Linked DNA regions of Ovis aries. The protein of the gene in region 1 interacts with the protein of each later gene in a pairwise test. Links are inferred from orthologs where the notes say so. Each region holds a gene or a part of one and is shown in the gene's direction. Other genes may lie near its edges.

Region 1 (3,500 bases):
CACCTCCCTCCCCATAATATCTCTCTGGGTCATCCCCGTGCACCAGCCCCAAGCATGCTGTGTCCTGCATCGGACATAGACTGGCGATTTGATTCTTACATGATAGTATACATGTTTCAATGCCATTCTCCCAAATCATCCCACCCTCTCCCTTTCCCTCTGAGTCCAAAAGTCCGCTCTACACATCTGCGTCTTTTTTGCTGTCTTGCATACAGGGTCGTCATTGCCATCTTTCTAAATTCCATATATATGTGTTAGTATACTGTATTGGTGTTTTTCTTTCTGGCTTACTTCACTTTGTATAATTGGCTCCAGTTTCATCCATCTCATCAGAACTGATTCAAATGTATTCTTTTTAACGGCTGAGTAATACTCCATTGTGTATATGTACCACAGCTTTCTTATCCATTCATCTGCTGATGGACATCTAGGTTGTGAAACTGACATTTTAATACATTATAAGAACTACTTGTTTAGAAAAAAGAGAACAAAGCTGAGCTGGATGCCATAGATGGTTGCTTGCTAAGTTAATGGTGTCTATAAGCCCACAGGTAAGAGTCACAGGAAGAAGATAAGTGATCCCTACTTGAAACCAGTTATAACAGAATGTGAGATTAGATCTGTTATAATAATCAAAATATTTAGAATTTTTAGTTTGTAGCATTAAAAAAATTACATGTCAAGGTAGCAATGGTTCATTTGATGTCATAGTGAAATTATAATTGCCTTCAGCATGTCTTAAGCTCCCAGAGGGCCTGTAGCTTCTGCTTTTTGGTGTCTTTTACAGAATAAATGCTCAGTAAATATTTGAGTTTAATTATATGTGCAATTTGTTGACATTTCTCCCCAACTACAGTTCAGTTGATAGTGGGAGTAATCAGGTTAAGCAGATTCAATCTTGTGAAAGTCTTTAAAGTTAAATAAAATTTGACCTCAGAATTCCTTGACATGTTGTCTTCCTCAGTAGGACAATTCCTTATGGTCTTTCCTTGTGGATATTAAGGGAGTTCAGCATTTGCAGCCTTCACTAACATCATTGCATTGGCTGCCTTTTGTTATTTCTCTAAGAAGTAAAACCTGATACCTGTTTTTCCTTTTATGATTTTTACTTCTTTGTATCCTTATAATAATTAATAGGAAGTTAAGAAAATTATGACAGATTTTAAAAATCTTTTCTTGGCATACATTAAAATAATCAACATTATAATTAGTTTCTTTAAATATTGTATTTTGCTTTTTCCATTTCAATTGCTGTAGGACCTTGGCCTCACTACTGTCTGGGAAGACCAGCTTTCTTATCTCTTGTCACCAGCTCTGGCGTCTTATGAATTTGAGCGTACAACAAGCATATCTGCGGGCAATGAAGAGTTTCAGGATGCTATCAGAAGGGCTGTGCCTGATGGCCACACATTTAAAGGGTTCCCAATACACTTTGTGTATAGAAATGCGAGGCGCGCGTTTGCCACATGTCTTCGGTAAGGTGGAATTTATGATGTCTTGGTGTTTTTAACATAATTTCAGTGAACACTTGGCACTAATTTAGGAATGACTTCAGAGTCACACAGGGAGCTTCTGTAGTGACCTGTCCTCTTGCCTCAGACTCTGATTCATTAGGGCCAGAGTGTAGCTCTGGAGAGCTCAGGGTCGTTTTTCTGCCAAGGATCACTGATCTTGTCTAGTGTAATTTAAAAAACTTAATTGGCTATGAGGAAATAGTTTATAATTTGAATAGTTTTACCACAGTTGCAGAGTCCTTGATAACAGAGACAGGATTTTTAAAAATCATTTTCAATACCCGACTTTCTTGGAAATAAAGTAAAACCTAAATTCATTTCTTAATTGAATCCATTTTCTCTCTTCTAAGGTCTCCTTTCTGTGAAGAAATCATCTGTTGCCGTGGAGACCAGGTGCGCCTGGCAGTTCGTGTCCGCGTGTTTACTTACCCTGAATCTGCTTGTGCTGTTTGGATCATGTTTGCTTGTAAATATCGCTCAGTACTATAGGACTAAGTTTCTATAAGACTATACCTGTGTTTTATTAGAATTTTACACATTGTGTTGATAATAATACTAGGTGTTTTGAGGTTCATTACTTTAAAAATCACAATCTGGCTTCGATGTCATATTTAACTTTTATATAAGCCTCACTAATAATGTTTGAAAAGTATCATGATGTGTGTTTAAAAATTAAGGATGAAAAACTTGTATAAATTTGAGAGGATGGTAGTATAAATTAAGTGTTTATCTTATTTTAATAAATACTACTTTGCTTATAAGTAGTCAGTAGTTTAAATATGAAAATAAAATTTACTTAGTTTTCTTTGCATTAACAGGTAATCAGAAAGTTATTTGCCTAAGGATTTGAGCCATAGTGAAGTTAATACGATCATTATTTTTCATAGAGTAATGGGATTATTTTATATAAATTAGGAGAAATTAACTTCACAACATTTATTTATTACATAGATGAAATGCATTTTGATGAATTTACCACTTTCGTGGTTTACTCATAACTACAGGGATATTTGTGACTCTCTAGAGAGTTATGGGAAGACATGGGTGCAGGAGCAGAGAAAAAACTCATACCAGAAAAGCATTATTATTAGTAACAAACCACACATGAAAGTATACAAATAATTTATAAGTATTTGTTAGTTTGATTCATTGTAAAAGTGAATTGTGTATTTTATTATTTTTTTTGCTTATTTATTTTTGAATTATTTTAGAAAAAATTTATTATACCCTTTAGTTGTATGTTGAAAATTGTTTTCTATAATTGATATTGGCAGTCTGTTGCTGATTTTCTGTGGTCACAGCATTCTTTACTAGCCTCTCGTGGAGTTTATCTTTTGAAATCACAGTTTTTGTTTCTTTCTTTTCTCTTTATGATAAAAGCATCCATGTGTATGTGGTGAATGTAAATCAGAGAATCATCATGTGAGGCCACTGAAAAACGAGCATCTGTGAGTGCCTCCATGCTGATGTTTGTTTTTAAGTTGAGAACAGTGCACTTTGAAGAGGCTGTAGTGGTTTAAACTTTGTGAGAAGCTGCCTGATGGGATTGCCTTGCCATCCACCCACCTCTCTGTACAGCTCTCATTCTTTCCTGCAACCACTGGGCTTCTTATGAAAGTGACTATACCAAGTGGCTGTGCAAGTTATGCTTTTCATTGCTAATTCAACATGGCAAATAAAATGATATTTTAGAAATTAAAATCTAAAGATACTCTAAAATTTACTTTTTAATTTTTACATATGTAATTATTTATGATATAACTTGTTTTAAAAGTCTGAAAATAATCTCTCATACCAATTTTTATTGAAAATGACCAGAAATCAGAAGTTTCTTGAGACTGACATGACTTTAGAGAATCAGCAAGATAAGAATTAAGACTTTTTGGTCTGTTACCAGAGTTACTTGCAAAGCTATCAACAGGAAAAATGGCTTGTAATTTTCAGCTTTTGGAACAAACTATTTGTGAGGCATGTACTAGGAGGCAG
Region 2 (3,500 bases), on another chromosome or scaffold:
TGCCCGAGGGGGGCACCCTGGCCTCTCCCTCCCAGCCGAGGCCAATGGTGCTGACACCTCTCCATCGGATACACAAGCAGGGCTGGCTTTTGTTCCCGTCACTCACTTGCTGAGTCAGGGCTCCGTCCCCCAGGGGCCCTCTCTCCTCCCTGCCTATAAGAGCCTGACCTCGGCCGTTCCCGGGTCTGGCATGTTCTCTGGGTCCATCTCGGTAAGTCCCCGGCTTGGAGAAGGGGTGGGATTCAAGCTCTGGGTGAGTCTCCTGGGAGACAGGGGAGCCCCTCGTCCCCAGTCCTGGGGGGATACCACTGAGTCATCCCGCATGCCATCCTCATCGAACCAGGCTCCAGACCTTGAGACCAGTACCTGCGACCGCCATCTGAAACCCAAATGATTCCTGTAATCCTGCGGCCTCACCTTCTGCTCTTAGAGCCTCCCTTCTGGGTCAGGCGCTGTCTTTGGAAGGCTCTCAAGCTGAGCACCTTGGCGCTTGCCAGGGGCGCAGCACCCACCCACCCGCAGCCATGGAAAATTCCCCCTACTGAGTAGATAAATCAGCACCAAGGGGGCTTAGAGGAACGGGACCCAGAATGGGTTCATTCTGAGACAGAGAGAGGATGGAAGAGAAGGAGATGGTACTGGAAAGTGGAGGAGGGGGACAGCCCAAAGCCGCACTTTGCCCTTCATCTGGGGCACTTCTGGACCCCACCTGGGTACCCATCTGCTCAAACCAGACTTCAGCTTCAAGGAGGGGAGCAGAGTCTGGGTGGAAGCTTCCTCACCTTCTTCTGTCGCCTAGGAAACGAGCGGCATGTCTCTGCAGTGCACCAAGTCGGCGGGACACTGGAAGGTAGGGGAGGCGCTGGGGGTGGGGGACGACGTCGGGAGGGAGAGGGCACAGGTCAAACCCAGGTCCTGCGGACCCCTGCCCCACCTTCACTGAGTTCCCACCTCACCCCTGGAGGGGGGCGGTAATGAGGGCCCATTTCACAGAGGATGTAGTCGAGGCTGTGAGAGGGAGAGGGTCTTGCCCAAGGTCACACACAGAGGTTCTTGACTTGAACTTGGGGCTTCCTGTCCCCAACTTTAACCGTCTCTCTGGCAGAAAACAACAGGTCTTCCCTCTAGCTCAGACGGTAAAGAGTCTGCCTGCAACTCAGGAGACCTGGGTCCGATCCCTGGGTTGGGAAGACTCCCTGGAGAAGGGAATGGGAACCCACTACAGTGTTCTTGCCTGGAGAATCCCATGGACCGAGGAGCCTGGCGGGCTACGGTCCATGGGGTCGCAAGAGCCGGACAGGACTGAGTGGCCAGCACCACTACCACCAGCAGAAAAGGCCAGCCGGTGATGGTGCACAGTCTCTGGGCGTGATTCCTTTGGTTTCCTCTGTGTTAAAAGAGAAGAGGGAAAAAAAAAAAAAAACCAAACCCTAAAACCTCTGAATTTGTCATCAGCCTTTGAACACCGGGAGAGCTCACAGAAAAGTTCAGTTACAGGGGCTGTCTTGGGAAAATTGGACTGTTGGTCGCATTACCACGTGGCAACAGTAGGTGGCGCTCCCGGGGTCTCAGCTCTCACCCTCCCGTCCCTGGACCCTGAAGGCATCTGAGTTTGCCGGCCCTGCGTTACCTGGCCTGCCCCTCACTGAGTCCTGGGGTGCATCCCTAACCCCTCACCGTCCCCCATTCCCCCCGGCTGCCCAGCACTCTGATGTGGGTCCCTACCTTTTCTCTCCGGCATAGATCGTGGTGTGGGATGAGGAGGGCTTCCAGGGCCGGCGGCATGAGTTCACGGCTGAGTGCCCTAGCGTGCTGGAGCTTGGCTTCGAGACTGTTCGATCTTTGAAAGTGCTGAGTGGCGCGTGAGTCCAGGGGGATCAGAGTTGGGGTTGGGGAGACAGGAAGGTATCTAGAGAAGGGTGCTGGGACTTTTAGGTGTTCGAGGTCCTATCTTCCCAGGCTCTAACTGTACCGGTGTGCCTCCGTGGGTTTGAGATGCTGGGGAGCACGAAGGATGGCAGTGTAAGGTTGCGCAGGTTGTGCACTGCCCAAATGTAGCGGGGAGCGGGGCAGAGAGGTGGGGGGGGGCGGTCAGTGGTGCATTCACCGAGTCTGCACATTGGATGAGGCAGCCCTGTGGGGGCAGACCTTCAAAATCCAGTGTTGGGTCTGAAGTGTCTCTGTTAGGTACAAATCAAAAGTCAATATCACTCACCAAAAGTGGAAGGTAACTAAAAATATAGTGAAAAATAATGCTAGTAATTTTTAGTTAAGCATTGCTGCCTGACTGAGGCTCTGAGCATGAGATATGTTTTGTTTAAAAAGAGAGAGAGAGGGGACTTCCCTGGTGGCCTAGTGGTAAAGAATCTGCCTGCCAATGCAGGTGATGTGAGTTCGATCCCTGGCTGGGGAAGATTCCACACGCTTTGAGGTAGCTAAGCCCACGGGCCACAGCTACTGAAACCTGTACCCTAGAGCCTGTGCTCCACAACAGGAGAAATCACCGCAATAAGGAGCCTGCACACCGCAGCTAGAGAAAAGCCTCCACACGGCAGGGAAGACTCAGCGCAGCCAAAAATAAAATAAATTTGAAAACTTAAAAAGAGAGACGGAGATTAATGAGATGACCAAAGCTGAAGTCAGCACTTGGTCAAGTCTCATCTACATGGCCCAGGGGGACAGGCGCAAGGGTGGCAGGTGCCTGCCAGTCCCCTGCCTGCAGGATGCACGGTGGGGCAGCGGGCTTCTCCACATCGGCACTATGGATGTTTGGGGTCAGGCAATTCTGTGCTGGCGGCTGCCCAGTGCATGGGAGGATGTTTAGCAGCGTCCCCAGCCTCTACTCACAAATGCCAGTTGTAAATCTCTCTCCTCCGGACTCCCAGCAAGACAACTACAAATGCCTGCAGACATTTAAAATGCCTCCTTGGGTGTGTGTGTGTGTGGGGGGCAAAGTCACCCCTATATGACAACCACTGGTCTGGAACTCAGGGTCGGAGGCCTCCTCACCCCTTGTACCCTCTACCCTCTGTTGGCAGGTGGGTGGGTTTTGAGCACGCCGGCTTCCAAGGGCAGCAGTATGTGCTGGAGCGGGGCGAGTACCCATCCTGGGACGCCTGGAGCGGCAACACGTCCTACCCCGCGGAGCGGCTCACCTCCTTCCGGCCGGTGGCCTGCGCTGTGAGTCCTGACATTGCCTGATCCCTGAGGGCGGGGGTGGGGGGCTGAGCCCCTCCAGTGGGGGCTTGGAAATTGGATGTCCAGAGTTCAGGTTCTCGTATCACTGCTTCAAGCTGTGGTGGTCCCTCCCCTCTCTGAGCCTCAGTTTCTTCATCTTAAACTGGGGCCATGGTACTTAAGTTCTGGGGGGGAAAAATGTACATGCGGACGGAGCCCAGCACAGACATTCTGCCCATTGCTGCTCTGGTTGTGATATGAACTCCTTCCTGCTGTGTGTCCTTTTCCTTTTTTCTGGCCGTGCTGTGCGGCTTTGGGGACCT
Region 3 (4,082 bases), on another chromosome or scaffold:
TGTTCAAGCTTTCTGAGGCTTCGTTTACTCACCTGCGAAGTTCTGATACCAGAGGGCATATGTTCTATGTGCCATTAACGGGGGTTATTTTCCATTCCCTGTTCCCTTGCCTTCCTGGTGGGTGGCAGCTCAGCTAAACCAATGGGGAAGGGGAAGCCTGGTCCTCAGACTGGGAAGTGTGATGTGGGACCTTGTATGGGAATCACCTTGTGGGGCCAGGGTTGGGGAGTCATAACTGGGCCAGCAGCTGGGGGAGGGGGCAGCTCCCTACTGTTTTCAGCGTCCCTCTTCATTGAGGCACTCTGGTGGGTGTTCAGGATTCCTGCATGCCACCTCTACAAACCAGGCTTCCTTCCCCAGTACACCCCCCTCCCCCCCTCCGACCCCCTGCCGCCCTGTGCCTGGGCTCAAAGCTGCCCATCTCTGGTGGCCTCTTGCTTTACACTACTGATGAGTTTTAGGAAAACTTGGCGAGGGGGTTGGTAATAGCAACTGATGTTTAATAGATGCATATTAAGGGCCAGGAACTTCCCAGGTGGCGCTAGTGGTAAAGAACTCGCTTGCCAATGCCAGAGACACAAGAGAGGCGGGTTCGATCTCTGGGTCAGGAAGATTCCCCTGGAGAGGGAAATGGCAGCCCACTCCGGTATTCTTCCCTGGAGAATCCCATGGACAGAGGAGCCAGGCAGGCTATAGTCCATGGGGTCGCAAAGGGTCAGACACGACTGAAATGACTTAACACACACACAAGGGCCTCACTTGATTGTGAGGATTGAGACAAGGTACATGGATGACCTCATTCTTTCCCGCCATCCTTGTTCATGTCTGGAGATCAGGCTGTGGATCTCCAGTCTTGCCTGCTCTGTGGTGGTTCTTTATTTTTTTGCCTGCTCTCTGTTGATTTGAATGGTTATCCTAGTCCTCTCCCTGTGCCTGCCCTCTATGACTACCACTATCTCATTATTTTCTTTTTCAAAGTATTTATTTATTTGGCGTGCTCCAGGCCTTAGTGGTGGCACACTGGATCTCAGGTCTTCCTTGCGGTATGCAGGAACTTCAGTTGTGGTTTGCGAACTCTTAGTTGCAGCCTGTGGGGTCCGGCTCCCTGACCAGGTATTGAACCTGGGCCCCCTGAATTGGGGGCATGGAGTCTTAGCCACTGGAGCACCAGGGAAGTCCCCCATCATCTCATTATAAGCCCGAAAATGTTGGTACCAAAGGAATCCTATTCACCTAGCCCCACCATGGCGCCACCTTATCCCTGCCTCTCTCCTCTCTCTGCAGGGACCTCTGGACAGGACAAGATTCAGAAGTTACTCTTCCCACCCAGGACCCCTTTACAGACCCAGCTTGCTCCCCGACCCAGCCCTACCACCTGCCATTCCCTGGCCCCTTTCACCGCCCGCCCCCCTTGGGGCTCAGGGCATGGTGTGAAAGGCCAAGTGCTGAGGCAGGCACCATGGGTGCTGTGCCCTAGGGCCTGGGTGGCAGGGGGTGGGTGGCCTGTGGGTGTGCCGGGGGGGCCAGTGTGCCCACCCCAGTCTCTCGGCGTGCTGGAGGGCATCCTGGATGGAATTGAAGTGAATGGAACAGAAGCCAAGCAAGGTGGAGTGTGGGTCAGACCCAGAGGAGAGCAGGTAATGCGTTCGGCAGCTACGTCGTGCCAACTCCTAGGCAGCAAGCAGGGTCACCTGGCTGGGCCCAAGAGAGCTGAGCTTGGGCCTTTTAAGTACCTCTGTGGTGGGGGCCAGGGCAGGGGCATGAGGCCAGCCAGCCTGCTGCCTACCTTTGCCCAGGAGATGAGGTCATGTTCCCATGTGGCAGGGAATTAGGCACCTGGATGGACAGATGCCCATTCTAAAAGGGGGAGGTGATGTAGAGTAATTACAGGCGGCAGACACATGGCCCCTCCCTGGATGGTGCTGGGCATCTCAAATCCTGCCCCCCTCCCTGGTCCCCTCGGCCACCCTCACCTGCATCTGTGGAATCCAAACAGCCTTGCCATTTGCCTCCTTTCCTCCTCTCCCTAGCAGCTCATTCCCTTCTGACTGCCATTGTGCAGTCCAGAAGCCATGGTGCCTGTTACATGACATTTCAGGGAACATGGTCCAGTAGCTGTTGGTCACAGCGCACACTTATATTTGGAAGCTATTGGGAGCCTCACAAGCTCTTCCTTGTTCATGGGCAAGGGCGGGCACTACATGGAGCTCCTCCCAGGAAGTGGAAGTGAATACCAGCTATGAAGATTTTGCTCCCACGTGGAGCAGACATCAGCCTTGCACACACAGCTAGGGATGGCTTACCTACCATCTGCAGTGCCTTTCAGGAGCCCAGAGGGTCTCTGCCTCTCCCATCGGCTCCAAGCAGCACAGAGCTCCGTCTCTGTTGGCATGGTGCCCTGGGAGCTGGGTACAGCCTGTGCCTATGGCCGGGGAGAGGGTGGGGGATGGGTGCTCTGGGGAGCAGTGTGGCCGTTGCCTAGGAGACCAGATCCTGAGCCAGGAGGCTGGAGTCCTGGGCCAGCAAAGCCTTGGGGCCCAAGACTGGGTCCCTGGAAGGGTGGAGTAAGTAGATGGGGCTGGTGGTTAGGTAAGGGCAGTGGGGTATCCCCCTACCCAGTCCCTACCCCAGGGAACTCTGAAAAAGATGTACCCTGTCATTGCATAGCTTTCTCTTACAGCCTCTGTACCTCCATGCCCAGACTTCTGTGGGTCTGGGAGAGTCTGCTCCTAAGGCACAGAAAGGCGGGAATGCCAGTTCCTGGTCCCCCCAGGACTGCAGCCCCTCCCCTGACAGCCTCCCCTCCCCCATGTCCTTGCGCCACCTTGTGGCTAGCTCTGGTACTGCACCCAGAGGCGGTAACTGATTAATTGCTGAAGACCGTCAGTCAGCTCAGCTGGGGCCTTGATAGCTAGGCATTCCCCCATACCCACCCCTCCGGAGACAGGAGGCAGATCTGACCCTCGAACCGTTCTAGAAATTAAACAGGGGCAATCCCCAGGGTGTGTGGGACACAGAGCTATCTGTGACTGTGACCCTGGCCAAGGTCACTGTGTCAGTGTGTTGGTAGTTGCATGGGACTCTGGAGGGAGGACTCTGCAACATGCCACACGCGGGGTGGGTGTGAGAGGTTATACAATCCGTGCATGCATGTAGAAGCTTATGTAATCTGTGTGTGCTGAGGTTATGTAACACATATGTGGAGAGGCTGGCCACATGCATGTGCAGTGGCTGAGGGCTGCTATAACACCTTACATGGAGGGGCCCTAGGTCTTTGTTCTGGCTCTGACCCCTGCCCACCGTGTCAGCTGGCACAGGTGGGGCCTCAGTTTGCTGTTCTGTTAAATGGGGCCCATGGACAGGGTGGCTTTGGGAGTCCCATCCTTTTCTCATGTTCTTGAGTCTAGGTTCTGGTGGTCCACTGTGGTTATCTAGCGTGTATGCATGAGCTGAAAATCAAATGACATGCTCGCTGTGGGGAGGGGCATGGTATTATTAGGTGCCTGTCTAGAGGGTTGTGAAACACGTGGGCATATCCTTGAGGCCGTATAACATTTGAGAAAGCCCTGAAAGTCACATCCACATAGATAATAGAGACTGCTGCTTATGTACCATGCTTGGGTTTATACTGAAGGCAGCATAGGTGTTCATATGTTCATATGTGCTGGTTTTATGCTGCATATATTTGTGTGTATTCTAAGCTTATATAGTTTTAAGCGTGTCCTAAAGATTCATGTCCTGAGATTCTTTCTGCATATGTGTCAAGCACTGAAGGCTTAAATATGTGGATGTTTTATAGATGATGGATGTTTAAGGTTCTCTAATGTGTGTGTGAGTGTGTGTTGGGACCCTTGAACATACTTGTGCTCCAGCCAAGCCCCTTATTTCTTGCTCAGATAGCTGGACCCTTCTCAGTTTTGTCAGCTGACCTGAAGGTGCGAGGTAGATGGAGGGAGTCAGGCCTGAGGCATAACCTCAGCCCCTTGGATGCAAAGGGGGGCTGCCCAAGGTCTGCTCTCTGATTCTACCCACTTTGCCCCTATCCAGTACCAGGTCACCAGATGGAAAGCGAAAAAGAAAGA
Region 4 (3,500 bases), on another chromosome or scaffold:
GAGTGAAGCGACTGCCTACAATGCAGGAGACCCGGGTTCAATCCCAGGGTTGGGAAGATCTCCTGGAGAAGGAAATGGCGGACCACTCCAGTATTCCTGCCTGGAAAATCCCATGGATGGAGGAGCCTGGTAGGCTACAGGGGTCGCAAAGAGTCGGACACGACTGAGTGACTTCACTTTCACTTTTCATAGTGAGTGAAACTGATTGGGGTTTCTGCAAGACATTGATTATGTGAAGGGTTTTCTGAGTCCCTAATCTTTTAATTTTATCTTTCATCCCATACAGTATAATATGCTAGACATCTGTATTGTTAGTTTCTTTTTCTATATCCTTACTTTTCAAAGTCTAGTATCATATTTTAGGTATTTAATATAAAGTACTGGTCAATGGGTGAGATAAGGAGTATACAGAAACATTTTTTTTTTACGTAATGAATTTCTTCAGGTAGATGGCATGTTTTGTGTCTTCACAGTGCAAAAGAAAGAAATAGAAATATATTAATCCAGATACTGATTTGAAAAGATGGCTGTCCTGTCTTTGTTTTGAGTACAACCTTTGGGTCTCAATTCTAGTTTCAGAATTCTGTTTCTTACATACCTATACTCCGTTCAGTTTATTATTATAAAGAAATCTTTCCATAAACAGTTCTTGAAAAGATACTCTATTTAAAAGAATTTTAAAGTCAGTGATATTTGCCAAGAGGCACTGTGACTCATTTTCACTCTGTGACCAGTGACATCTCATTAGGATAAATTCATTGGTTTATATTACTACAGAGTGGAAAAACTGGACTGAATTTGGATCATTTATATTTCTTTAAAGAAAAATGGAGTGTAGAATTCACTGTTTCTGAAAACTCCTGACCTTTAGGATGGCCTGCTTTGCTGTAGCATTATATTTAAAGTGAGTATCTTGATATTCATCCCCTGATTTATGGAAGATGAGCCGGAGTAGCTGTTCTGTTTCACATGCTTGAATTCAGCCCCTGGTGAAGATAGCACTGCAGTAGCAGCGTGTCTTTTTGGATGAAGATAAATACAGTCAGGAAAGATTGGATTTCGGATGTGAATTTGGAGGTCCAGTGAGAAATGTTGACATTTCTAAAGCTGTTTTGAAGTATTATATATTGTTTGACAGAGAAGTAAGACCCAGTATGGAAAACTGTGGATGAAAATCAGTTAAAAACTTAAAGCTAATGTAGAAATATGAAACAGCTAGAAAAATGTCTAAGTTTCTTTTCACACGTTTGACATCTTATTACTATTGATGAACGAATTGCTGATCAAGATAATTTAAATTAAGGTGGTTCACTAGAAGGGTATTTTAAACCCCTCTCCGTAATGTAAAATGTCTTTCTTTCTTTCTTGAGTGATTGCTGCCCCCTAGTGAGATTTTAGTTTTATTCTCATTATAAAGTCCCTGTACTAAAATCCTCTTAGTATGGAAATAATTGATCTTAATTTTCAAAATATTCCAAACCTGATGATGTCTAATTCACTAATATAGTAAACTTTTATTTCTATAAAGAAAAAATAGTGCATTTGAAACACAGAATAGCCCTTTAATCAGATAGACTAAACATATACAGCAAATTTATGTCACTATAGTTGTAAACTTGTACTTTGGTCAAGTCTAAGTCTAATTAATTATCTTATTATGGAGACTGTTATATTTTAAAGAGATAATATATTTTAAGTTTTAGTAAAGTGCTTCACAAATAGTAAATACTGTGTAAGTATTAGTACTTTTAACAAGAACCTTAAACTTTCACATGATCTGATATAAACTTTTGTAGGTATTGGGCTTTTCTGCAATATATTGTCAATATTTTTTTTTCTTTAGTTGTGCATGCAGTATTTCCTTGATTTAAAACCTTTTGGTAAACTATAACATGTTTTGTATCTTTAAAATAAAATAAATTGCAATTAGGTAAAGATTAATTCACTTATACAAATTTTGTTTAAAATTAATATTTGTTTTATTTTGATCATATGGATTTGATTTTGAAGGTATTCTGAGCATTAAAATAATTAGTACAAATACAAAAATTAATTTATCTAAAACTCTTTTCTTATTTGGTTTTGTATATTTTACTACATATTATATTACTAAAAAATATATTGTCTCTTGCCAGTGGTGTTGATGCTCTTTTGGAATTAAAACCATTTGTAGAAGAAATCCTCCAAGGAAAACCTTTGACTTTGCCCTTTGAAGGGGTTGACACTTTCGGAAATCAGGTTGGATTTGTGAAGCTGGCAGAAGGAGGTCACATAAACTCACTTTTGGAGATAGCAGGTAAAACAAACGGCGATAAACTTACATGAAATCTCATTGTTGAAGAGGGAATTTTTTTCTTCCAATTCTTATAATAGAGATTTGACATCTTTCAACTTTGTGGGGGGCAATGTAGCCTCACTTTATGAGTGACCTACTTCAGCATTTGCTTGTGTAGATAAGTAGCCGAATAAAAGGCCAGAACAGTTACTGTATCTTGATCCTTTGACTCGGGGGAATATGTTGATTCTGGAAGATGATGGACTGGACCCAAGTATTTGTTAGGACCATCCTAATCATAAGTCTGAAGGATCCAGTGCTTATCATGACATATAGCTGGCATTAAGTAAATATTGAATGAGTTAATTAGAAACACCAATTGCCTGTTCTGCTTGTGGGGATTGTCAGCCCCATTTGGGAGAGTCAGTAGATGAATCAGTGACATTTCCCTCTGTGCTACCTTTTTTCCTTCCTGTTTAGGTACCACTGTCTAAGCAGAAGGCCCGTTGGTGGTGGTAGAAGGTCTAACATCCATTGGAGAACAAGCTGCTTTCTGCAGCACAATTGAAAATGTTAGGGAAATTTGTTGTTGTTCAGTCTTTCAGTCATGTCCTAATCTGCCACCCCATGGACTGCAGCACATCAGGCTTCCCTGTCCTTCACCATCTCCCAGAGCTTGTTTAAACTCATGTCCTTTGAGTTGGTGATGCCATCTAACCATCTTTTCCTCTGTCATCTCCTTCTCCTGCCTTCGTCTTTCCCAGCATCAGGGTCTTTTCCAGTGAGTGGGCTCTTTGCATCAGGTGGCCAAAGTATTGGAGCTTCAGCTTCAGCATCAGTCCTTCCAATGAATATTCAGGGTTGATTTCTTTTAGGATTGACTGGTTTGATTTCCTTTCTGTCCAAGCGATTCTCAAGAGTCTTCTCCAACATCATAGTTTGAAAGCATCAATTCTTTGGCAGTCAGCCTTCTAGGGAAATAGAAGCAGAAAATGATAAAACCTGGAAGAGTGCTTTTTTGAGATGATCCAGAGATCATAGTTTGGGTGTTCATGTACGTACTGTAAACAATTTTTATTTTTTTCTCTCATGTCAGATCATTTCATGTCATCCTGTTTCAGGTTCAGTAATCCTTAATTTATAACACTCTCTGATCATTGCTCCATGCTGGGCTTATTTTTCTCTGTCTATCTGTCTTAAAATAATATCATCTGGGAATCCACCA
Region 5 (3,500 bases), on another chromosome or scaffold:
GCTGTCGTGTGGTCAGCTGCATGTGTTGTGGGAGGCTCAGAGTGTCCAGGGGAAGGACCAGACAGACCTCCCCATCCTAACTTGCCCTCTTCCCCCTCTCACGAATTCCCAGACCGAGAAGCAATTCAGGAGCTTGAGAGCAGTCTGAAGGAAGTCCGCAAGACAGCCAGTGGGACTGCCCTGTACTATGCTGGCCTCTTCCTCTGGCTCATGGGCCGCCACGACAAGGCCAAGGAGTACATTGACCGCACGTTGAAGGTTTCCAGCAGCTCCAGAGAGGTACAGGCCCCTGGCATCGTGGGGGCAACAGCCAAAGAAAGCAGCATCCAAACACGTCATACAGAGTGGCTCTGACTCCCATGGAGGGCACTAGGGCTGGGGGAGGGTCACACCCAGGCACCAACAAGGCCCATGCTGGCTCAGGGTTTAGCCAACTACAAACTGGACTTTGTCCATAGAGTCCAATCTGCAGATAGGTGTTTTATGGCCTGTGCTATATAGTTTTAAAATCTTGAAATAGTTGCTAGCATTTCGAAATCAGAACATTTTTACCTAAAAGTCCCAGATTTCTTGGTTCTTTTGAAAAACTAGATGAGCTGGCTTCACTGGGCCTGCACTCCCTCCGTGCAGAGATCTGCTCGGTGTCTCTGCTCGGCTCACACAGTAGATCTCACCTGTGGCGGTCTCATGGGCCGAAGGACTGTAGAATTGGAAGCCTCAGTCTAGGCCGTGCATCTCAGCAGGGCGTGTATCACCCCCAGCCCCCCAGTCAGTCAATCAGTTCAGTCGCAGACTCTTTGCAACCCCGTGAACTGCAGCACGCCAGGCCTCCCTGCCCATCACCAACTCCCGGAGTTTACCCAAACTCATGTCCATTGAGTCGGTGATGCCATCCAGCCATCTCATCCTCTGTTGTCCCCTTCTCCTCCAGTCCTCAGTCTTTCCCAGCATCAGGGTCTTTTCAAGGGGGCGGAAATTGCTTCTTGAAGGAGAGGATGAAAAATCTCATTGATTGGATGTAAAACACAAATATACGCACAGAACGTAAAATCAGTCAGTGTACACATGATACTTAATTCTCTTGGAGGGGCAGAGAATGACTAGGTGGGAAACATCTAAAAAGGCTCCTTTGTTGTTGTTCCGTTGCTCAGTCGTGTCTGACTCTTTGCGACCCCATGGACTGCAGCTCACCAGGCGCCTCTATCCATGGGATTCTCCAGGCAGAAATACTGGAGTGGGTAGCCATTTCCTTCTCCAGGGGAAAAAGGCTCATTAGAAGGGCAATAATGGAAAAGAATTGAGAAACCTTCTCTAGGCCATGAGTGGTGCTTTGGGACAGGGTCTTCCAGGTGCCCCTCTGATCTTGCCTCCCAGGCCTGGCCTGCCACACGTGCCGGGCAAGGTGGGGCAAAGGCTGGAGAGGAGCCGGCAAGGCCCATGAGCTCAGAGTGGCCACCCGCCCACTCAGAAGGCATTCCCAGCTTTCCGTCCAGGCCAAGCCCTTACGCTGGTCTAAGGAGCGGAGGCAACAGGAGTGGTCCCGCCATGGTGCTCTGACCCCAGTGTAAACAGACAGTGACAACGCAGGGCAAGAGAACCATGGGGGTTACAGCGAGAGCCTCAGCCCAGCCTGCAGGGTCAAGGAAGGCCTCCTATGGGACGGGCCTCCTCCACTGAGTTTTAGCGACTGGTGGTGGTTAACCAGGTGAAGGGACCTGGCTAGGGGGTGCATGCTGGGAAGGGCTTTCCAGGTGAAGGAACAAGAGGTAGGAAGGCCCGAGAGAGAGAGCAGGGCTGCCCTGGGATCTGGGAGCAGCGGTGCCTGGCAGGGCCTCGGAAAATGGAGTGACAAAGAGGGGGAAGTGGGGCAGGAGAGGCAGTCGAATGGAGGCGATGCAGGAGCGAGGACTTACCTTTCCCCTTGTTCTCATGCCAGGGCCATGTGCTCAGAGGCTGGGTGGACCTCAGCTCAGACAAACCCCACACGGTGAAGAAGTCCATCAAGTACCTGGAGCATGGCATCCAGGACACCAGAGACGTCCTGGGGCTGATGGGAAAGGTAGGCAGTGGGGAGGCGAGGGGTGGGAGTGTCCCCAGCCAGGGGCCTCCGTCTCTAGGGCCCCACCTGGTGGATGAAGAGCAGAGTCCCGGAGAGGGCCAGGGCCACAGAGCAGCGCTGGGCCCGCCCCAGTCCTTCCTGTCTGAGTTTCTGTCTGTCTCCTGCCTAAGATCTCCTCAGGACCTATGCTCCCTGGGCTCTGGTGGGCTTTTTTCTCTCTATCCCTTTTGTTTTCACCCACTGTCCCTTTCCTCTACGTTTTCTTTTCTCATCTCACCTGTTAAACTCACTCACTTGGTCATAAGAGAAAGAAGGTATGTGTTTTGTATTTTCTGATCTTAAATTGTTGCCTTTTTCTGATGTGACCCTCTCTGAATCAGTCTATGAGAGGAAAAATCATCCTCTTACCTGCTTCTGTTTGTATGTACCTATCTTATAAAATGAATACGTTTGCACGCATGCTCCGTCGTGTCCGATTCTTGCAACCCCGTGGACTGTAGTCTGCCAGGCTCCTCTCTCCATGGAATTTCCCAGGCCAGAATACCAAAGTGGGTTGCCATTTCCTCCTGCAGGGGACCTTCCCAGCCCAGGGATCGAACCCACATCTCTGGTGTCTTCTGCATTGACAGACAGATGTTTTGTTTGTTTTTTTTTTACCACTAGTGCCACCTGAAATGAATGCGTGCTCATTGAAAAACCAGAAGTCTAAAAAAGTCAAAATGGCCTCCTTTTAGACCTGCCATCCCGCAAACAACCCACGGCAATATTTTAGGGCCGTGTCTCCTCGTCTCTCTGCTGCGCGTTGTTTCAGGGTGCACCTTCAGTGGTTCGTGGGGGAGCAGAAGCCATGAGGCTATCACACAGGAGGATTATCAGGCTGTGCCCTCAGAACCGACATGTGTAGGGAAAGGGAAAGAAGTAGGAGGGAGAGCTTGGACTGTGCAGCAGCCATAGCGGCAGCCTCAGCCAGCTCTGCTTGGAACTGGAGCTGGGGTGGCCCTGCCCCGACCCCCTCCCTGACAAGATGTTGGCTGTAGGCTGCCCCTCGGGGATGGGGGCAACCTGGTACTTGGGGGCTCCCTGAAGCCACAGGGGAGCCCAGGAGGGAGGCTCCTCCAAGAGATATCAACAGCCACCCCCAACCCCTGGTCCTGAAGGGGGTCACGCACAGCACCTGCTACAGGACAGCAGACAGGGGGATTTCATGTGGCTGTTATCATAGGGCACCTTGCCATTTGGTCTCTTCATGTAGGGCTGTGTCATAAGCACATGTCGTTTTGACATAAAGTCAGGCCACGACTGCGTGGACCTAATATAATTTGCCAACTTTGCCTCCTAGTGTTTGTATATTAAGGTTGTTTTTAGTTGTATCTGTAGAAAGAAAGCTTCAGTGAACACGTCTATACGTAAATTTATATTTAGAATACTCCTCTTCTTGTTT
Region 6 (3,500 bases), on another chromosome or scaffold:
TCTGGCTTCAGTTGCATTTTCTAGCCAAAGTTTAAAGACTATAGAGCTTAGGTTTTGTCTTACCAAAGGCAGTAAGTGGACAAGCTGCGGGGTAAGCTCAGTTCTGTGCCATCTGTCAAGCTTACAGTGTCATGAATTCTGCGGAACTTCATCTTGTCCGAGGCATGGTCCCAGCCTGCCAGCCCATCGAACCCACCAGAACCAGATCTCTGGAGAAGAACTGACGACCTGCCAGGTGGATGATAGGGTGTAGACACCTAGGAACTGGGAGTGTGGAGTCCTTGACCACGCTCTGGGCTGTCACTTGCTCCCTGTGTGCTGGCGTGGAGAGCTTTGGTTCCTTTGTTGTAAAGGGAGGTATCTGGATAAGATGAGTGGTGAGGGGCAAGGAGTATAGTATGAACATAGTAGACCCTTAACTAACTGGCTTTTAATCAATCAGTGAGCCAAGGGTCATCATCGCTCGACCTCTGCTCAGGCCCCCAGACACTTGTGTCCTGGAAGGCCATGGCTGGCTCCCTGCTTCCTGGCCAGTCCTGAGGTCTGAACATCCACCTTGCTTTCTCACACTGATAATGTAGTCACTGCTTAGCCGCCTTCCTGCTAGGAGTTCACAGAAAGTGGGTCTGCCCTGTGCAAATTTATATCGATGATATTTCTTCATTTCTCTGTGAAGATGTTGGAGGAAAACCTACACATTGATCTTGCTGTTCATGTACCGACCGAGCAGCAGTTTCGCCTGCTGAGAGGAAAGGGCAGCTTGCTCAGCTTCTGTGCCCAGCCGTGCCCTGCAGGACATAGCACATTTCTGGATGTTCCAAGCCTCTTTTCCCCACCCATGCTGGCCTGAGCCTCTCTCTCCTTGCCTTTCTTCTACTGCTTTTGTCTTTCTTTTTTCCCTTCGGACTCTTCTCCATGCTCCCTTTATCCACACTGGAGCTGGGACTTGACCCATGGGGATGATGCATTCATACGCTGGTCTTCTCCCCTGGTTGCCTTCCAGGAACGCTGGTGCAATCGATGGTCAGAAACCTCGAGAAGCAGTTGGAGGCTCCAGCCAAGAAGCCTGCTGGAGGGGTCAGTCTGTTCTCAGTGCCCAGTGCCGGGCCACAGAGAGCTGCTGTGCCAGGAGGAAAGCCCCAGGTAGGCTGTAGGACCTAAGAGGCGCCCCTGCAGTCTCTTACAGAGCTGGCTCGAGTTTGGGGCCCTGGGCGGGGCCTGAGGGAGGGCCCGTGTGCGACACTACAGTTGACCTCACGCCCCTCGTCTCCTCTGCCCCTGCAGGAGTGGTGGGATGCCCACTCTCCAGTGCTTGTTGTTTGTGTCCCTTGTTAACATCGAAAAGCCTTGTGGTTCCTGGTGGCTCAGAGGTGAAAGCGTCTGCCTCCAATGCAGGAGACCCGGGTTCGATCCCTGGGTCGGGAAGATCCCCTGGAGAAGGAAATGACAATCCACTCCAGTATTCTTGCCTGGAGAATCCCATGGACGGAGAAGCCTAGTAGGTTACAGTCCACAGGGTCGCAAAGAGTCGGACATGACTGAGCGACTTCACCTTCACCTTCATTACATGAACAACCACTCGGTGGGTTGTTTCTCCCAGCCACGCATGCCCCCACTTCTGGCTCTGATGGGGCCTGGACCTGGCTCTGTGCCTGGCTTCCAGCAGTAGCTGCTCTATTCGGGCTCCATCCAGCTCATCCCACAGCCAAGCTCTCCCCTTTCTTCACTCCCCGAGAACCCCAGTGCAGGACTGTGTGCAGAGCAGACTGCTCCACAATACACAGTGGGGATATTAGGCACCTTTGTTCCAAATATCCAAGGCCATTCCTCATCACTAAGAATGTCTTAATGGCCTTGCCTCTCTCCAGCTCCAGCTGCCATCAGATTTATCGCTCAGATGCTCAGCCTCCCGGACAATTCCTGCTAGGATGTCCTTGCCACCTCCCCTCTCCCTGTAAGGGAACCACTTCTGTATTCCTGTTGTGTTTTCTTAGGCAGAAACATTTCAAGCTCTTGTAACTTTACCCTCCTTTTTCAATCAGAAAGATGCATCCTAGGATGACCTATGTTATTGCTCTAAAATTCAGAAATAATGGGCAATCATTTTTCGGTTTTTCCTAGCATACACCTCCCCTGGCAACCCCGACACCCACCCTGTGCTATGTAATATGTTCGGTTTATTATGTAGCTCATGTGTGTTTATGAGTAATGAGTCTAAATGATTCAAAATGTATTCAAAAAGAATTCATCCTCAGTTGTGAGAGAGCACCGACCGCGCTATGCAGGTTGAGGCACTGTCCAGAGCCTGCTTGCCACCTGGGGCCCTGGAAATTTCTGATTGGTTCCTTACGTTCCATGGCAAATGCTCTGGGCACTGAGAGCTCTGGTGGGGGTGGGGTGACCATGATTCTGGTTCGGGGACAGCCTGGGAGTTTGGCCCACGCTGGGCTCCCCTGTTGGCCCAGCTCAGACCTTTTCCAGGCTGAAGGATTCCTGCACTTGGAGTTCCCCTCATGCACCTTTGGTCAGAGTGTCTCCCAGCCCTGGACCAGCGGTCTGTGGCAGGTGCGGTGGATGCATTAGGCTCTGGTGAGTCAGCTCAGGAGTTTGGAGAAGTTAAGTCCCTGGACTTCGTCACTGTGGGCAGTTCAAAAATCTGGACAAAGTTTAAATTTCGACAAGCGCAACCTGATCTTCTACAGGCCTTGGGGCTGGCCTCAGTATGGCCGGTGGAATTTCAGGGGTGTTTTGCAATGGCTGTGACCCCAGGTCTCTGAAGCAGGTTCTCAAAGACGTGGACACCAGAAGATGAGAGGAGTGGCCCCTCCTGCTTCCTTCCAGATCTGCATTTTCTCCGCATATCCGTCCTCCCTGGTCAGATGCATTTTCTTCTCCCCTGTTCTCCCTGCAGCTTTCTGAGGATGAGAGTGACTTGGAGATCTCTTCCTTGGAAGATCTCCCACAGGACCTAAACCAGAGAGAGAAACCAAAGCCCTTGTCTCGCTCAAAGCTCCCGGAGAAGTTTGGTGCCAGCTCTTGGAGCCCCAGTCAACCCAGGGTCCCTGGCTGGTGAGCCTGCTTCTGATTCTGGGAGCCAAAGGACCAGCCTTGTTGCCCAGCTGTGTGGGGCTGGCCCAGAACCCCCCAACGATGGGGCCGCTGGGCCTCTTGTCTTCCTCAGGAGCCAAGAGGTCTTCTCCTTGGACAGAAGCAGAGTAGAAGACAGATATGATTTCTCCCATTCCCCCATGAGAGCCCTGGCAGTGTCCCATGGGTCCCAGGGCTGAGAAAGTGTTGTAACAGGACCTTGAAAGAGCATCCTTCATCTACCTCCATGCTCGCTCCAGACTGAAAGGAGACACTTGGTCTCTACTCTGCAGCGTTTTGTAAACCTTGTAGAGCTGGGTCTTTTATGGGGTCCTTTGGGGGATGTACGCCTGAGTCAGCCATTCAATAATTGACCCAAAGTCACTTACTGAGGTCGTCTGGCCTCTTACTGC
Region 7 (4,165 bases), on another chromosome or scaffold:
TTTGATTTAATTTGGACAGAACTGGTTCTTTAGTCTGTTTTGTAAAAAGAGCTTCGTGATGAAGCACAAATGTAAGTGTTAAAATAAATGAAACCTGAAGATATGTTCTCCCTACCTCCCACTCCCAGTTTTAAATGTATTAAATTTTCCAAAGTTCTGCTGGCCTTTTTTTTTAAAAATTAGTGTTAATTTAATTTCAGGTCTCCACTTTATATAATAAGAGCTCCTTTGACATGTCAGTTCAATTATTTGAATCTCTTGTTCCTTGAAAATAATTTTCGATTATGAATTTCAAATGAAAAACAGGCAGTGACCAAAACCTGAATTGCCTCTACGCGTCTGATTAGGTACCAGCATGCGGCTGACACCTGCTGGAAAGGTCCTCTGCGGGCTTCTCCGACCCTGGGCCCAGCAGGGGCCCCCCTTGCCTCTGCTCCAGGCAAAGAGGCCCATCTCCACAGGCTTCCCTCAACTCTCAGGAGACTGTCCCCCGCGGGAGAGTGGTCCCAGGGTTCACCCACGTGTCCTCAGAGAAGGAGCATTAGAGTTCATCGTGATAATCAGGGTTGGGCCCTGTGACCCAAAGCCACACCCAGGCAATGCAAGTGGTTTCGGAAGTCTTGAGCAGGCTGTGACCTGCCGGACCCTCCAGGGGTCTCGGCTCGCTGGCAGACGCAGACGCCCTCTTTGGTGGGCAGCCTGGCCTGTGAACCACCACGGCAGGACGCCTTGGTGAGACTGCAGCTCTCCGCCCTGACGCAGACTCACCCGGCGGGTAACTGGCGGTGGCTAGGCTGGGGGAGGCGGAGGAGCACCGCGGAGGGGTCGCAGGCTAGTCCTGAGGCGCCGTCAGCCTCCTTGCCGTCGCTGTCATTGCCTCGTGCGCGCCCTTCACGGACGCGCCTGGTTCCCCGGCCCCCGCCTCAGCACAGCCTCACCCCCGACGCCGCCTCGGGACGCCCACCCGCAGGGCCGGCTGGCTCCCCGGGCCGCACGGCCTCCGCCCCACTCCGCCCCGCTTCCTGCCTGCACGCCCTCGGGAGGGGACACGGGCGGGACAGCCGCAGCCGCAGGCTTGACCGCGCGGCGCTGGAGCCCGGGGGCGCTGATCTATTTCAGCGACCGGAACTGCGAGGCGACGAAGAGAAAGCCGCGGGCAGAGACTGCCCCGCCCACGCCGGGCTCGGCCCCGCCCCCCTCGAGTGTCGGGCCCCGCCCCCAGGCTGTTATTGGCTGCCAGCCCGGATGTCCCGTTCACTGGCGCATCTCAAGGAGGTGGGCGAGGAGCTACTGGCAAAGCCTCGGCGCTCATTGGTCCCTCTGCCCGTCAGTCACGCGGCGGCGGCGGCCTCAGGAGGCGGGCCCGGCGGTTCCGGAACATGGCGGAAGGTGAAGGCTGGCGGGTAAGCTCCGTGGGCGCTGGGGGCCCGGGGAGCCGAGTCCGCCGGTCGGAGCGGGCGGGCGGGCCCCTGGTCCCCGCTCACGCCCCCGTGCCCGCCCCCGCAGCCGCCGCGCCCGTGCGAGGCCTACCGCGCGGAGTGGGAGCTCTGCCGCAGCGCCGGGCACTTCCTGCGCCACTACTACGTCCACGGCGAGCGGCCGGCCTGCGGGCAGTGGCGGCGCGACCTGGCCAGCTGCCGCGAGTGGGAGCAGCGCCGCAGCGCCGAAGCCCAGGTGAGGCCAGGTGACCCGAGCCGGCCCGCCGAGCCCCGGAAGGCCGGGAACCAGAGGCGCCGGGCGCGGGGGGCGGGCCTGGAACGGGGGCTTCGGGCCCAGCCCTCCGCGTGTGCTTTGATTGGTATCATTCAAAGGCCAGTCTGGCAGCCAGGCTGGGAGAGGGCGTGGTGCAGTCACGGGAGTCCAGTCAGGAGGGGCCCTTGGTCCATCCGTTCAGCAGACGCTTCCCCCTGGACGCTCTTGGACGTACAGGAGAGGTTAGAACCCGATCTCTGCCCTCCTGACTCCTACATCCTAGTCTGGCATACAGTGGTGCCCTGGAGCTGATGGGGCAAAGGGTGGAGCGGAGCTGTGAGGGTGCAGAGCTCTTGGGGTGTGCCAGCAGGACTGGCGAGTGTAAATGCCCAGTCCCTGAGCAGTGGAAGAGAAAGTTGGCGGGTCTGTGTGGCAAGAAATCAATAACTGATACACAGATTGTCAAGATAGCTCTTATATATCAGTATGAGAAATGGATTTCACAGTGAAGTGGACAAAAGGCATAGAGAAGGGATTCACCCTGAAAGGACGTCAGATGGCCTGATACACATTTAAAATGACGGTGAGTGGTTTCTGCCCAGCGGAACATCACTGGGGTTTGGAGAGTGAGCACCTGGGCAGTGCTAGTGGAATGTGGGGTGTTTTGATTGCCTAAATGTCAAATGCATGCCTTTTGATCTCAGAGGGCTGCCCGTGACCCGGTCTCCTTTGCAGCGGTCCCTGTGTGAAAGCGAGCGGGCCAGAGTTCGGGCTGCACGGAAGCATGGCCTGGTGTGGGCGCCCAGGCAGAGCCCCCCAGAAGACTGGCACCTCCCTCTGCCTGAGGACAAGGACGGGTGACCGACCCAAACAGTCCAGAGGGCCCCTGGGAGCTTCCGCCCTTGCCTCCAGCCTCGCCTGCCCTGCCGTCATCACCAGGCTTGGAGCCGGTCCACCCAGCATGCAGTGTCCCTGTGGGCAGCCAGGGAGGCTGTCCCAAGGGCTAGGCTCCTCAGACGAACCCTCCAGGGGCAGCTCTGACCCGTGGGGACACTTGGGGGGGAATGAGGTGGCCTCCCCACCGGCCCTGCTCTGGTGGCCACCACGCACCTTGGTTCTCTCCCGCCACGGCCACTCACTGCTCCTTCCCTCGGAATTTCACCCAGTCGTTTTTAGAAAACGTGGATAATATCAGAAGAAATTTCACAGGTTTGATTCCAAATAGAAACTGCAAATTACACCCAGGCTTTCATATTGAAAGTTAGATGCAGGCAGGGTTAGAATTTTGTACGTTTTTGTAGATGCTCTTAGAATACATGCCCTTGAACCAAGAACCCTCCTTTAGAGGTCTCTTTCTTCTGCTGAAATGGTGTAGCCTCTGGGGCCGCGCGGCGGACCCACCACTGGGCGCTGTTCACCCAGCCTGCGGCATCTCGGCGCCTCCCCCTGGGCCCCAGCCAGGGCACAGGCGTGGCTCCGCATCACGGAACCCGTTCTTGGGGGCAGAATAACCCACCCCTCAGAAGGACGTTCATTATTGGGCCCCCGTGTGCCCCAGGAGTCCTCTGTGGCTATGAGCGGTGGGGGTGCATGCACGGGACCCCCGGAGCAGAGGAGAGCATAAAGAAGGCGCAGGGTGCCCCTTCTGGCAACAGCTGAGCCCATCAGCCGCGGCTGCAGCTCTGTCCACGGGCATTTCTGTGCGAGGAGAGGGTGGCATGGCTGGGTCCTCCCGGGTCTGAGACCCCCCGTGGGGGGCTGTGTGCTGGGAATGGCAGCCACCCCCTGGTTCCCGGGATTCGTGCAGCAGGGCGCAGGCACCATGAGGAGCCCCACGCCTGCTCGGATGCTGAGCGTGCCTCCAGTGCAGGGGAACATGCCTGTGTCAGGCATGTCCACGCCCTGGGACCGCACACCCAAAACGGACACGTCGCCTCCGTCCCATTGAGTTCAGGGGACGGACATGGACGTTCAGGCGTCAGCCGTGAAGGTTGAAACGGGCAGCGTCTTTCAAACTCGGGACAGAGGCCATGGTGACGAGCAGTTTGGGTGGTGACCCGGTGCAGCGTGGTCTCAGGGACGCTGGCAGTTCTGGGGCCAGGGTCAGAGCGCCATCCTGGGGAGCCTGTGATACGAGGATGCGCGGCGGGGAGCCGGGCCCCGCTCGGGCAGCGCTGTTGTTCTCTGGTGTAGGTGAGACTGGCCAGCCTCCAGCCTCCTGTCAGCCTCTCGTGACCTCCAAATAAAAGTTTGAGACAAAACAGTTGGCCACGACCTACTGACTTGGTTATCCAACCTCACCGAGGAAAGCTACAGGCCTGAAAAGCACCTGTGAGGGGTGGGGCGGTGGGGAAGGCTCTGAGTGTAGCCCTGTCCGAGGAGCAGTCTGGAGGCTTGCAAGGCCGAGAAGGAGCCACAGGCTGACGAGGCCGGTGCACAAGCTGCGTGCTCACTCAGGTGAAACGGCCCCTGG

What was found.
Region 2: the proteins of CEP76 (region 1) and CRYBA4 interact in binary tests that used the Homo sapiens proteins (3 or more experiments, as listed by UniProt). The two-hybrid records come from large-scale screens. The link is inferred for Ovis aries from reciprocal best matches to the Homo sapiens genes CEP76 and CRYBA4.
Region 3: the proteins of CEP76 (region 1) and THRA interact in binary tests that used the Homo sapiens proteins (3 or more experiments, as listed by UniProt). The two-hybrid records come from large-scale screens. The link is inferred for Ovis aries from reciprocal best matches to the Homo sapiens genes CEP76 and THRA.
Region 4: the proteins of CEP76 (region 1) and AKAP7 interact in a two-hybrid assay, tested with the Homo sapiens proteins (3 studies listed by BioGRID). The two-hybrid records come from large-scale screens. The link is inferred for Ovis aries from reciprocal best matches to the Homo sapiens genes CEP76 and AKAP7.
Region 5: the proteins of CEP76 (region 1) and TTC21A interact in a two-hybrid assay, tested with the Homo sapiens proteins (2 studies listed by BioGRID). The two-hybrid records come from large-scale screens. The link is inferred for Ovis aries from reciprocal best matches to the Homo sapiens genes CEP76 and TTC21A.
Region 6: the proteins of CEP76 (region 1) and DZIP1L interact in binary tests that used the Homo sapiens proteins (3 or more experiments, as listed by UniProt). The link is inferred for Ovis aries from reciprocal best matches to the Homo sapiens genes CEP76 and DZIP1L.
Region 7: the proteins of CEP76 (region 1) and C17H22orf39 interact in binary tests that used the Homo sapiens proteins (3 or more experiments, as listed by UniProt). The two-hybrid records come from large-scale screens. The link is inferred for Ovis aries from reciprocal best matches to the Homo sapiens genes CEP76 and C22orf39.

What each region holds. Positions count from the first base shown.
Region 1 is NC_056076.1:43,547,447-43,550,946, reverse strand, and holds part of CEP76 (centrosomal protein of 76 kDa), read left to right. Parts: intron 1-1,257; coding exon 1,258-1,475; intron 1,476-1,864; coding exon 1,865-2,003; 3' UTR 2,004-3,500. UniProt on the Homo sapiens protein: Centrosomal protein involved in regulation of centriole duplication. Required to limit centriole duplication to once per cell cycle by preventing centriole reduplication.
Region 2 is NC_056070.1:66,459,990-66,463,489, forward strand, and holds part of CRYBA4 (beta-crystallin A4), read left to right. Parts: intron 1-799; 5' UTR 800-811; coding exon 812-850; intron 851-1,743; coding exon 1,744-1,862; intron 1,863-3,038; coding exon 3,039-3,180; intron 3,181-3,500. UniProt on the Homo sapiens protein: Crystallins are the dominant structural components of the vertebrate eye lens.
Region 3 is NC_056064.1:40,127,948-40,132,029, forward strand, and holds the start of THRA (thyroid hormone receptor alpha), read left to right. Parts: upstream 1-1,282; 5' UTR 1,283-1,584; coding exon 1,585-1,637; intron 1,638-4,047; coding exon 4,048-4,082.
Region 4 is NC_056061.1:56,701,515-56,705,014, forward strand, and holds part of AKAP7 (A-kinase anchoring protein 7), read left to right. Parts: intron 1-2,135; coding exon 2,136-2,296; intron 2,297-3,500. UniProt on the Homo sapiens protein: Probably targets cAMP-dependent protein kinase (PKA) to the cellular membrane or cytoskeletal structures.
Region 5 is NC_056072.1:12,442,587-12,446,086, forward strand, and holds part of TTC21A (tetratricopeptide repeat protein 21A), read left to right. Parts: intron 1-112; coding exon 113-279; intron 280-1,936; coding exon 1,937-2,059; intron 2,060-3,500. UniProt on the Homo sapiens protein: Intraflagellar transport (IFT)-associated protein required for spermatogenesis. Required for sperm flagellar formation and intraflagellar transport.
Region 6 is NC_056054.1:251,716,063-251,719,562, forward strand, and holds part of DZIP1L (cilium assembly protein DZIP1L), read left to right. Parts: intron 1-1,003; coding exon 1,004-1,143; intron 1,144-1,353; exon of another isoform or gene 1,354-1,426; intron 1,427-2,911; coding exon 2,912-3,073; 3' UTR 3,074-3,500. UniProt on the Homo sapiens protein: Involved in primary cilium formation. Probably acts as a transition zone protein required for localization of PKD1/PC1 and PKD2/PC2 to the ciliary membrane.
Region 7 is NC_056070.1:72,728,495-72,732,659, reverse strand, and holds C17H22orf39 (UPF0545 protein C22orf39 homolog), read left to right. Parts: upstream 1-1,365; 5' UTR 1,366-1,379; coding exon 1,380-1,403; intron 1,404-1,506; coding exon 1,507-1,674; intron 1,675-2,427; coding exon 2,428-2,553; 3' UTR 2,554-3,955; downstream 3,956-4,165. UniProt on the Homo sapiens protein: Negatively regulates long-term potentiation and modulates adult synaptic plasticity. Stabilizes the interaction of RTN4 isoform A/Nogo-A with its receptors, inhibiting clustering of postsynaptic AMPA receptors at synaptic sites.